Linked DNA regions of Arabidopsis thaliana. The protein of the gene in region 1 interacts with the protein of each later gene in a pairwise test. Each region holds a gene or a part of one and is shown on either strand. Other genes may lie near its edges.

Evidence for each region.
Region 2: the proteins of WEB1 (region 1) and AT1G66480 interact in a two-hybrid assay, tested with the Arabidopsis thaliana proteins (one study listed by BioGRID).

Annotation. Positions count from the first base shown.
Region 1 is NC_003071.7:11,296,757-11,302,931, forward strand, and holds WEB1 (WEAK CHLOROPLAST MOVEMENT UNDER BLUE LIGHT-like protein (DUF827)), read left to right. Parts: upstream 1-2,157; 5' UTR 2,158-2,411; intron 2,412-2,412; exon of another isoform or gene 2,413-2,685; intron 2,686-2,788; 5' UTR 2,789-2,808; coding exon 2,809-3,396; intron 3,397-3,484; coding exon 3,485-5,320; 3' UTR 5,321-5,563; downstream 5,564-6,175. UniProt on the Arabidopsis thaliana protein: Required for the chloroplast avoidance response under high intensity blue light. This avoidance response consists in the relocation of chloroplasts on the anticlinal side of exposed cells.
Region 2 is NC_003070.9:24,804,870-24,809,725, reverse strand, and holds AT1G66480 (plastid movement impaired 2), read left to right. Parts: upstream 1-2,168; 5' UTR 2,169-2,320; coding exon 2,321-2,929; intron 2,930-3,887; coding exon 3,888-3,956; 3' UTR 3,957-4,308; downstream 4,309-4,856. Other genes in the region: AT1G66490 (F-box and associated interaction domains-containing protein), read left to right, coding at 1-305.

The DNA.
Region 1 (6,175 bases):
AAAATTATAATTGATTTCAAAATTTATAACACATCTGCTAGACCGTGAGTAATATTAAATTCGAATTGTCACTGATGGTTAGTCACATATGTAAAAAAGTTTGAAAGAGATTTAAGCTATATTTATTGGTTTTAATAAAAAAAAAATTTATGGTTGAACCTCACAGTTACAAAAATAAAAATATATTAAAAGAAAAGTTTTTTTTATTACAAAACAATTTTTTTTTATTGAGCAATAACTTCTTGATGTGAATGTTTTATTGAGCAATATCGTTTTTTTTTGTGGTGCTCTACCGTAAAATTTCGTAATGTATTTTTGGAACAATTGACAAAGAAAAGAATAGAATCGCATATATTATTATTATTTTCCGCGAAAACACTTAGAAATTTTGTGAGCAATATACTTTTATCCTTTCAAATCACATGATTCGACATTGATATGCTGGAATATCTTTTTTTCTCAAGACATGCAAAGTTGAAGTTTCTTCATCATTGAGTTGATAGAATTCTTTGATTAGATAGATAAAGAGATGGAAAATGAAGTTGACACTTTTATTCTCACCCACCAATGTGAAGTATTTACAATTGGTTGTTTTTTGGATCCCAAATTGCAGTTGAAATGATGACAAGAAAAAAAACTGCGGTTGATAATCACCAATCAAACCTATACTATTATCCCTGTATCCCAATATAAAATCAAGAGTTGTACTTGTAATTATATTTAAGTTTGTCTATTTAAAACTATAATGCAAAGAAATGGTTACATTTGTTTTTTTTTCTTATTCTTTTTCACCGGTTACATTTGATTTAATGTAATACTTTTAGAATTAAATAGATCTTGCATTTCATACAAATTTGTATGTTTGAACATTTGCAAAGTGTTATATTTTATTAAGACCAATTGGAACCCAAAATCAATGAATAATTTTGATACGGCAAATCATCAATCTCGAATATGATTAGTAAGTGAGTGAATGTGTACCAAAAATGACACCTTAATTCGTCGTCGTCATCATCTTATTACAATTATCCGATTAGCAGAATTATTATTTCAATTTTTGCTTTCTGAATTTGAATGCTTTTAATATATATATATATATATATATATATAATATGATGAGAGAGAAATTTATTGAGTAATCAAGAAAGATGATTTGCAAAACTAACCACTTTTGATAATTTAATTTAAAATATAAATTAAGAAAATTTACTATTAAGAAAAAAAATTTATTGAGATTTCTCAAACCATCAATCTCATCAATTGGTAAACTACTCTCTCAAGATGCCACGTAGACAAACACTCTGATAGCTAATTCTCAAATGCCACGTGTACCTGCAAAGCTTTCCTACTTCTCAAAACGTGAGAAGGTTTCATTGAGGAAATTCAAAACGTCATTATAAACACTCTTCTTAGTTTATGATCGTCTCCTCTCCATCTATCCCTCACGGGCCTCACCCTTCTTGGTTTATAATTTTAGAACATTAATTACTAGAGTTTATGATTTCTTTCGGTTCTCTAGGGTTTTCACTTCGAATTGAAGCCGATAACATATTAAAATTTAGTCGAAGGACGAAACTTTTTGGTTTTGACCGTCTTGATTAACAAATTTTCTTTTCTTTATATCGTTCTCACATCCGCTATTTTATCAATTATATAATTTTTACAAAGCATATATTTTCAACCGCTAAACCAATCGTTTAAACTGCTTGATAACATTTAAAACCGCAACCGTCCACTTTTGTATACTCCTGTAATTTTATCCACATTGGCTGCGTTTAAACCAATCACACTAAGTTCCAAACAAATTCTTTCTTATACTGAGTATGACCATCGTTTTTAGTTGTAAAGAAACAAATTTTTTGTTTTTGATTTAATCTTACTATTCTGAATTTTTTGGTCTAAAATTCCTTAAATTAAAAAAAAATAGAAGATTTAAACGAACTAAAACAATTGATACAAATTTATTTTCTATTAAACAATATTACATTAAAGATCGAATCCGGGTCGGGTAATGTAACTCAAAACTTGCTTGGTGCGACCCTCTCCACTTTGCCAGCCTCATTCATCTCTAAAAATAAACAAAAACCAGTTTTTTTGTTGTTGTTCAGGTCAAGTAGTTTGGTTTAACTACTTTTTATACGTGGACCAATGAAACACCAAGAAGCCACTAATTTTCTTTATTAAAAACTAAAACTGAATAACAAAATAACTAAAAAAAAAGGAAAAAAAATAAAATAAACAAACAAAACCGAACATTATGAAAGAGAGAGAATGCCAGATGGATGATGAAGATGAGCCGATGAGAGATAGCTTCATGATTTGTCTCCGCGACCGCAGTTATCTCTTTCTAATTTCTGTCTGAAATAATAAATTAAACTTCTTCTACTACCTCCGATCATCATAATCCTCCGGTAAGACTTCTCTTCTCTTCTTGAATCTTCTTGATGCAGCTTTTTTTTGTCGGCATACAACTTTTGTATTTTTCATATTTTTTTTTTCTCCAGCTGATAAACTCAGAATTCTTGAAATTCGGAAACTTTTCATTTTTCTTTGAATTGTAGGAAATTATCATTGTTCGTATTTATCTTCTTAAAAAAACACTATTAAATCCTGGAATTGGTAATTATTTACTCACGTTTCCGAATTTGTTTACACAAAGATGAAAATCCGATGATCTTGATTAAAGTATGTTTGATTCTTGTATACCATATTTGTTTGATTAGAGTAATTTGATCATCAAAGATGTTTTGTATTCAATTTTTTCTCAATTAGTCTTTATGTTTTGTAGCAATTTCAGGTTACAGGGGAATGGAGGACTTAAAAACTGTTGAAGCATCTGATAATGTTGTTAGTGATAATGTTGAGAAAGTCAATCCTGAGTTGATTGATTCCACCATTCGAGAATCTAACATACAATCTGCAACAAAGGTTGATAATATTCCACAATCTCAAACTGACACTGAAGAGACTCAACAATCTCAAACTGATACTGAAGAGACTCAACAATCTCAAACTGATGACACTACCGGCAATGCGAAGATTTATGTCGATGACACGTTTTCGCCTTCTGATGCTGCAACCGCTGCGGTGTTAACCGGAAAAGATAGTACGAGTACAACAATTGTAGAAGAAGTGATGGAGCCAGATGAGATTGGTTTACCTAGTGTCAAGATTACCGAGGCTGCGACGGGTACAGCAAGAAATGGTGGGGGGTCACCTAGAACTGTATCATCTCCTAGATTTTCAGGATCACCGGTGAGCACTGGAACACCGAAAAATGTGGACTCACATCGAGGTTTAATCGATACCGCAGCGCCATTTGAATCTGTTAAAGAAGCTGTATCAAAATTTGGAGGAATTACTGACTGGAAGTCTCACCGAATGCAAGCGGTAGAGGTATTGTACTAACGGATACATTTGGATTATTTCTCGTTTTAATTTGTTGTTGCCTTTCTTGTTCATATTTTCGTGTATGGTTTTGCAGAGACGAAAGCTTATTGAAGAAGAGCTTAAAAAGATTCATGAGGAGATTCCTGAGTACAAAACACATTCAGAAACTGCAGAGGCTGCAAAACTGCAAGTGCTTAAGGAGCTGGAAAGCACAAAGAGACTTATAGAACAGTTGAAGCTTAATTTGGACAAGGCACAAACAGAAGAACAACAGGCGAAGCAAGACTCGGAGCTTGCTAAGCTGAGGGTTGAAGAGATGGAACAAGGAATAGCTGAAGATGTCAGTGTTGCAGCTAAAGCGCAACTTGAGGTGGCTAAGGCGAGGCATACAACAGCGATTACAGAGTTGTCTTCTGTCAAGGAGGAACTAGAAACTCTGCATAAGGAATATGATGCTCTGGTGCAAGATAAAGATGTGGCTGTAAAGAAAGTAGAAGAAGCAATGTTGGCGTCAAAAGAAGTTGAGAAGACAGTGGAAGAACTCACCATAGAGTTGATAGCTACAAAGGAGTCATTGGAATCAGCACATGCTTCTCATTTAGAGGCGGAAGAACAGAGGATTGGAGCAGCTATGGCTAGAGACCAGGATACTCACCGTTGGGAGAAGGAACTGAAGCAAGCGGAAGAGGAACTCCAAAGACTTAACCAACAGATACATTCTTCGAAAGATCTAAAATCGAAGCTCGACACTGCCTCAGCGCTGCTTCTTGATTTGAAGGCGGAATTGGTAGCTTATATGGAATCCAAGCTAAAACAAGAAGCGTGTGACTCAACCACAAACACCGATCCTTCGACAGAAAACATGAGCCATCCAGATTTACATGCAGCTGTTGCCTCTGCAAAGAAGGAACTTGAAGAGGTCAATGTCAATATTGAGAAAGCAGCTGCTGAAGTGAGTTGCTTGAAATTGGCCTCCTCTTCCTTGCAACTGGAACTCGAGAAAGAAAAGTCTACTCTTGCCTCTATCAAACAGAGAGAAGGAATGGCCTCTATAGCAGTAGCTTCTATAGAGGCTGAAATTGACAGAACGAGGTCGGAAATAGCTTCGGTTCAGTCAAAGGAGAAAGACGCGAGAGAGAAAATGGTGGAGCTACCGAAGCAACTTCAGCAAGCAGCAGAAGAGGCTGATGAAGCAAAGTCACTTGCTGAAGTTGCTCGCGAAGAGCTACGAAAGGCGAAAGAAGAAGCAGAGCAAGCAAAAGCTGGAGCAAGTACAATGGAGAGCAGGCTATTTGCTGCGCAGAAGGAAATCGAAGCAGCTAAAGCTTCAGAGAGGCTGGCCTTAGCTGCCATCAAGGCTTTGGAGGAGAGTGAATCAACATTGAAAGCTAATGACACCGATTCTCCACGAAGCGTTACACTTTCGCTAGAAGAGTACTATGAGCTCAGCAAACGTGCTCACGAGGCAGAAGAACTCGCGAACGCAAGAGTAGCAGCAGCGGTTTCAAGAATCGAGGAAGCTAAAGAAACAGAAATGAGAAGCTTGGAGAAGTTGGAAGAAGTAAACAGAGACATGGATGCGAGAAAGAAGGCATTAAAAGAAGCAACTGAAAAGGCTGAGAAGGCCAAAGAAGGGAAGTTGGGGGTGGAGCAGGAGCTGAGGAAATGGAGGGCAGAACATGAACAAAAGAGAAAGGCTGGTGATGGAGTCAACACTGAGAAAAACCTAAAAGAAAGCTTTGAAGGAGGAAAGATGGAGCAATCACCTGAAGCTGTTGTTTATGCCTCCAGCCCAAGTGAGTCATATGGAACAGAAGAAAACTCTGAAACCAATCTATCCCCACAGACCAAGTCTCGAAAGAAAAAGAAGAAGCTTTCTTTCCCCCGGTTTTTTATGTTCTTGTCAAAGAAGAAGTCACATAATAATTGAGTTCAGTTTCAATTCAAACGCCTAATTCTCTTTTGATCTATTGGAGCTTTGTATTCAGAAAGAACTCCATTTGAACAAGTATTGTGGTGTAAATGGTTTTTTCATTTCTTTTCTATTTGTTTGCACTGTGTAAGTCGAGTCCTCCTTTTATCAAAAGAAAAAACGTGATGGGGAAATGAAACCATAAAAGTCATTCATTTTGTACATACTTGTGTATTGGTCATACAAATATACAAGATACATAAAAGGAACATAAAGAGCACAATACAGAGTTGGATGAGGTTCTTAGTTGAAATATCTACGAGAGACTTCGAAGACATTTGTCATTCACTAATTTCAATTTACTCAAATAATTTCAAGTATTTTAATATAGTGAATGACAAGTGTCTTCGAAATCTCTCATAGATATATTCACTATATTAAAATAAATAAAAATATTTTAATATAGTTTGATTATATAATTAAGCTTTAAATATTTTAATTTAACTTATTAATTAAATTATTTAAATTAACTTATTTAAATTTAGTTGTATAAGTCGTATAAATTTATTCTTATACATAAAATCATTAGAATTTTAATGAAATTTTTGATTTTATTAAAGTATACAAATTAAATAATATAATATAAGAATTTATTTCATGTTTTTATATACTAATATATATAGAATTAGTAACAATGTATATTAGTTGAGTTTACGGTTTATTTTAAGGCAAATATCTAATTATACTAAATTAACACTATTTTTTTTATTTATTAAAAAATACGTTAAAGATAACAATTTCTTATTAGTGTATGTAAATTTAAATATGTTTTAGACAATGTAATTAAAATTAGAATGAATCATTTACTCAAGA
Region 2 (4,856 bases), on another chromosome or scaffold:
AGCCGAATGAGGTATTCTGGAGCAATTTCTTGAAAGTGGATCTCACTACTTTTCCGGACAGATTTTATGGAAGTCGATCTCACTACTTCTTCATTGACGAGGAGAAAAAAGTCGCTGTGGTTTTCAAGAATGAACCTGAATGGACCATGGATTGTTCCTACCAAACAGCTTACATTATTGGAAAAGGAGGATATCTCAAATCTGTGAAATTCGGAGAAACTCCTAATGACCGGAAACATAACAACGCATGGAATATTAACTCGTTTATGTTATCTTCTTATGTTCCAAGTTTAGTGCAACTATAAATCAAGCAACGGGGCAAAAGGAAAGAAAGAGATTATTATTAAGTAGTTTCATTTGCTACACATTATTTGTTTCTTGTATCATCTCCTTTAGATAAAGATTACTTCCAGTCAGGTATTAACTTGTGTTTTTCCAATTTCATCAAATGCTTTTGCATATTTTACCATAACTTTTTTTGTCTTACTAGATCTTCCAATTTTGTACCCAACACAAACGTTCACGTACCTGCTTTTACAAATTTTTGCAGTTTCATGTGTTTGAATCCCTCGAACATGAATTTCATTGTGTCATAAGTTATGCCTCGACCAATTGTTGTGAGTAAAGATTTGTCTGAATTATTTCACGTTCTTAACAATGTGAAAGAGAAGCTGACTCGATAGCCTACCAACTCTTTGGATAGTCGCACGAGAATTAAGAACATCAAAAGGAGTCCGACTTGTTCTTCCTTTCGTTCACACCCCCACAAGCAAATCAAGTGGCGGATTATTTAGCGAAATATTTGTCCCATTTTTCATCACATTCGAAGCGATTGTTTCTTAATCTTTACCAGACCCGATAGCCTACCAACTCTTTGACCTGGTAATGCATTTCGGTTGGACCAAAATATTAAAAAACCATAATCGTTGACTTTTTAGTTGATTGAATTCTTAGACTGATTTCTTGAAGATTCAGTGCACGGATACTTTTTAAACAGTGGCACTTACACAGCAAAAACCTAGCGAAAGAATACAAATGGAAAAGACATTTCGATTTACATATTTAGCCTAACTTTTCGTTACATAGTTCAGCTCATAGATAGGGTTAGTTTTGTCATTTGAGTTTACCCACCAAGGGTTAGTATATGTCGGATGCTTTGTTTGACCACTAGCATGCACACCAACACGGAACCGTGTATGTTTTTGCTTTTAATAACTTAGTCACGAGTATACCCTCTTTACAAGCTCCAAAGTTGGTTCTGATCGTATAATTTCATACTTACCAAATGTTAGTTTAATTAATTCTTACGAAAATATTTTCACTTTTAAAAGCTTTTCTTCGTTTTTGTACCATTATGTCAAAATTGGGATTCAAAAATAGATTTTGATACATGGAAACAATGATCTCATATGCAGAATTTAGGACCCTAACTGGCTTTTTTACATGTGCATGCGCATGTGAGGTTTTTCTACTAATTTGCATTTGCTTTTTGCATCTGATGTTTTTCTTCTAGATAAGAACTGATTTTAAGAAAAACATCATTGTTAGAGCCAATATATCAATTTGAGATACACATAAATATGGTCTTGACCGCTCCCTTGTTCCAAGTTTCGAGTAACCACACAAAAAAAAGTTTTGTATGTCTCTCGATATATATATATGTCTTTTATATGTTATTTTCTGATTCGTCGTAGTTATATCGATTAGATTCTATGACACGGTTAATCCAATATTTAGAGTGAGGCAATGATTGGTCTAATTTGGAACTGAATTAACTCATGTTAGGTGGAGGTTGAAAACAGAAACAACCATATTTGTAGTTCTTGTATGAATATAAATTTTCTTCATAAAATCGTTTGACTTAATTATATTTCTTACATATAATACGGCTACATGAGTATATAACAACATAAAACCTGGAAAAATAAGCACAACCATAAATCACGCGCGGTAGTTACAGTCATTCAGATTTTAATATATATGCTAATTTTTTCATCTTGAAAACACCATAACAAACAAACAAAAAAATGTAATCAAATCAAAAGAAAGGTAATGCGAATTTGCCATGGACCGACATATTAAACTTTATTCTTTTAAAACATTATGAATGATTTTTTTCAACGTTAACGACTTTAATTAAAATTAGAAGGAATCTCTGTAATATTTCCCAGCTTCACACACACTAAAATTCAAAAAAATAACATTTTCAACCAAACCTCCTCAACATATATAAATAGTAACATAGCCACTTTATAACACATTTTCACATTATCAAATCAAATAAACAAAAAAAAAAAAAAAGCAAAGCGAAGAAAAAAAAATGGGAAACAGCATTACTGTGAAGAGAAAAAGAGCTAAAGTAATGAAGATCGACGGCGAAACTTTCCGAATTAAAACTCCGGTGACGGCGAGAGAAGTCACCGCGGATTATCCCGGTTACGTTTTGTTAGATTCTCAAGCCGTTAAACACTTTGGAGTTCGCTCTAAGCCGCTTGAACCGAACCAAACCTTGAAGCCGAAAAAGACTTATTTTCTCGTCGAGCTTCCTAAGCTTCCACCGGAGACGACGGCGGTGGATACAGAAAATAAGCTACCGTACCGGAGAGTGATGTCTGGTATCCACGTTGGCGCAAAGGAGCGGTTAGATATGTTGATGTTGTCTCGGAGAACGGTTTCTGACGTCACAATCGGAAGATCTGACGGTGGAGATGGGTTTGGGCCTGAGCTTGGGCCTGGACATACGAGTGTGAGGTTGAGGTTGCCTCGTTCTCAGATCACGAAGCTTATGGAAGAGAATAATAATGATGCTTCGGCCATAGCTGAGAAGATTTTAGGTATCTATATGGAGAGGTCTGGCGAGCTTGGCGGCGGTAGAGGTGGTGTTGACGGCCGCCGGGAACTTGGAAGTGGGGAGATTAAAGCGCGTGAGGTAATTCTTGTTTTTTTACTTTGAGTTTTGGTCAAATAGTTTCACCGCGTTAAATTTAATCTTTGACATAAAAAATTGAAGCGGACATATTCAACTAATTAATCAACTTAATAGAGAATCTATATAAGTGGTACAATCAACAAGCATAAAATGAATTTAACTACTTTGGAGTTGATAACTCAGCTGGTTCAATCTAGAACCATGTTTTTGAGAAGCCGGGTCAGATTCTGAGTTTGAACACGGGTTAATTTAGTATGTTCTACTTCTCAAGTTGAAGAGATTAGAGATGTATGGGTCTCGGTCCGAAACTTCTGAGATTATAATGAATTATTATTAATAATTTGTGTCAATCATCATTTGTCGGAATTACCGAAATATCATCCCGGAATTGCGCAAATAGTTTAAATTTTTAATGTTCCTAAATTGATGTAGAAGGCAAGAAACGGAAGTTAATTCGTTAGGCATTGCTTTGGCGTTGGATTAGAGTTATAAAATTATTATTGTAAGCCACTAATTAAGCCCACTAGGGTATATTTTTGTCATCTACATACGTGAGTATGACGTAAGTAAATATATACAAAACAAATTTACATAAACACACATTTACATGATATGCATGTTACTATAGTCAAACTTTTATCGGAGTAGGAGTGGACTTATAAATGGATTTACAAAGGAATTCGTAAATGAATTCACATGTTCATGAAATTGTATACATCTTTGTCTTAATAACATTGTCGAAGGATATGCTTAGAAACACATGTTTATTAGTTTTTGTAATATCTCGGGGGAAAAAAAGATTAATGCATTATCATATCTTACCAATGATCAAGATCCTCTCGATCATCAAATGATTTATCGGTTTGTTTGGTTAATCATATATTATAAATTAATAATTAAGAGTCAAAGAAGTAATGATATTAATTTTTTTTAATGATATTAAATTAAACATGTGCAGAAGCAGGTGAGTTTCGCCGGAGAAGGTGGACGGGAGCTTCCTGTTCTATGGAGTAGAAGTGGAAAATAATCATCAAATATTCAAATAGACAAACTAATTCTCTTTTTTGAACCCCTTTTATTTTTTTTCTTATATGAAGTTATTGTGGTAGGACTCATATATTATGTGTATAAATCTCTTTTATCTAGCAACTAGAGATTATTTAGAATTGTTTGTTTTCCTTTACGTTAATTAGTCTTTTCATACTTTAAGATATAAGAAATTATAGAAGCTAATGGACATGGTTGGGTGCCTACCCTACCAGTTACCAAATAATCAACGATCGTTATATTGCAATCAGCCTTTTTTGATTAAAAAGTAGGACCCTAAAAAGTATTCCCAAAATGGTTGGATTTTGAAGAAGAATAATCTAAAATGATATTGCCTTTAGAAAGTTAAAATTTTTGGGCAGTCCACTAAACGAGACTCGTTCTGCTGGTTATCCGTTATGGCTGTAATTATTGATACAAACTGATACAATAAACGATGAAGGTTTAATATCTTGATTAAAAATGAAATGATGAAACCGTCAACTACGTACAACTTAAAAATCTAACAAACGATTTTTTTTGTACTCAACGTTAAAAATACACACATATGTAAAGTAACATCACGCCTTGTACAGTAAAGAACCATAAGAAACTATTCAAACTGCGTCATGATAAAATCTATGTAGACTACTCAAATTCACGATATTTAGCAATATATTTTCAAGATTGTAACCCTTTAGTCTATTGCCATAACTTGACTAACAAACACTTCCACACAACTATTGAATTTAACTAGTACACTTTTTTCTTCTCAGTATGACTTTTTAGTGATTTTGCAAAATTTGGTTGGAAAGATGCGAGTAATAACCAAAATGCCATAGTTTCCCAGTTAGAGGAATGCTCATAATATTTAGTCTTCTACTAAAGCATTCCAAAACTA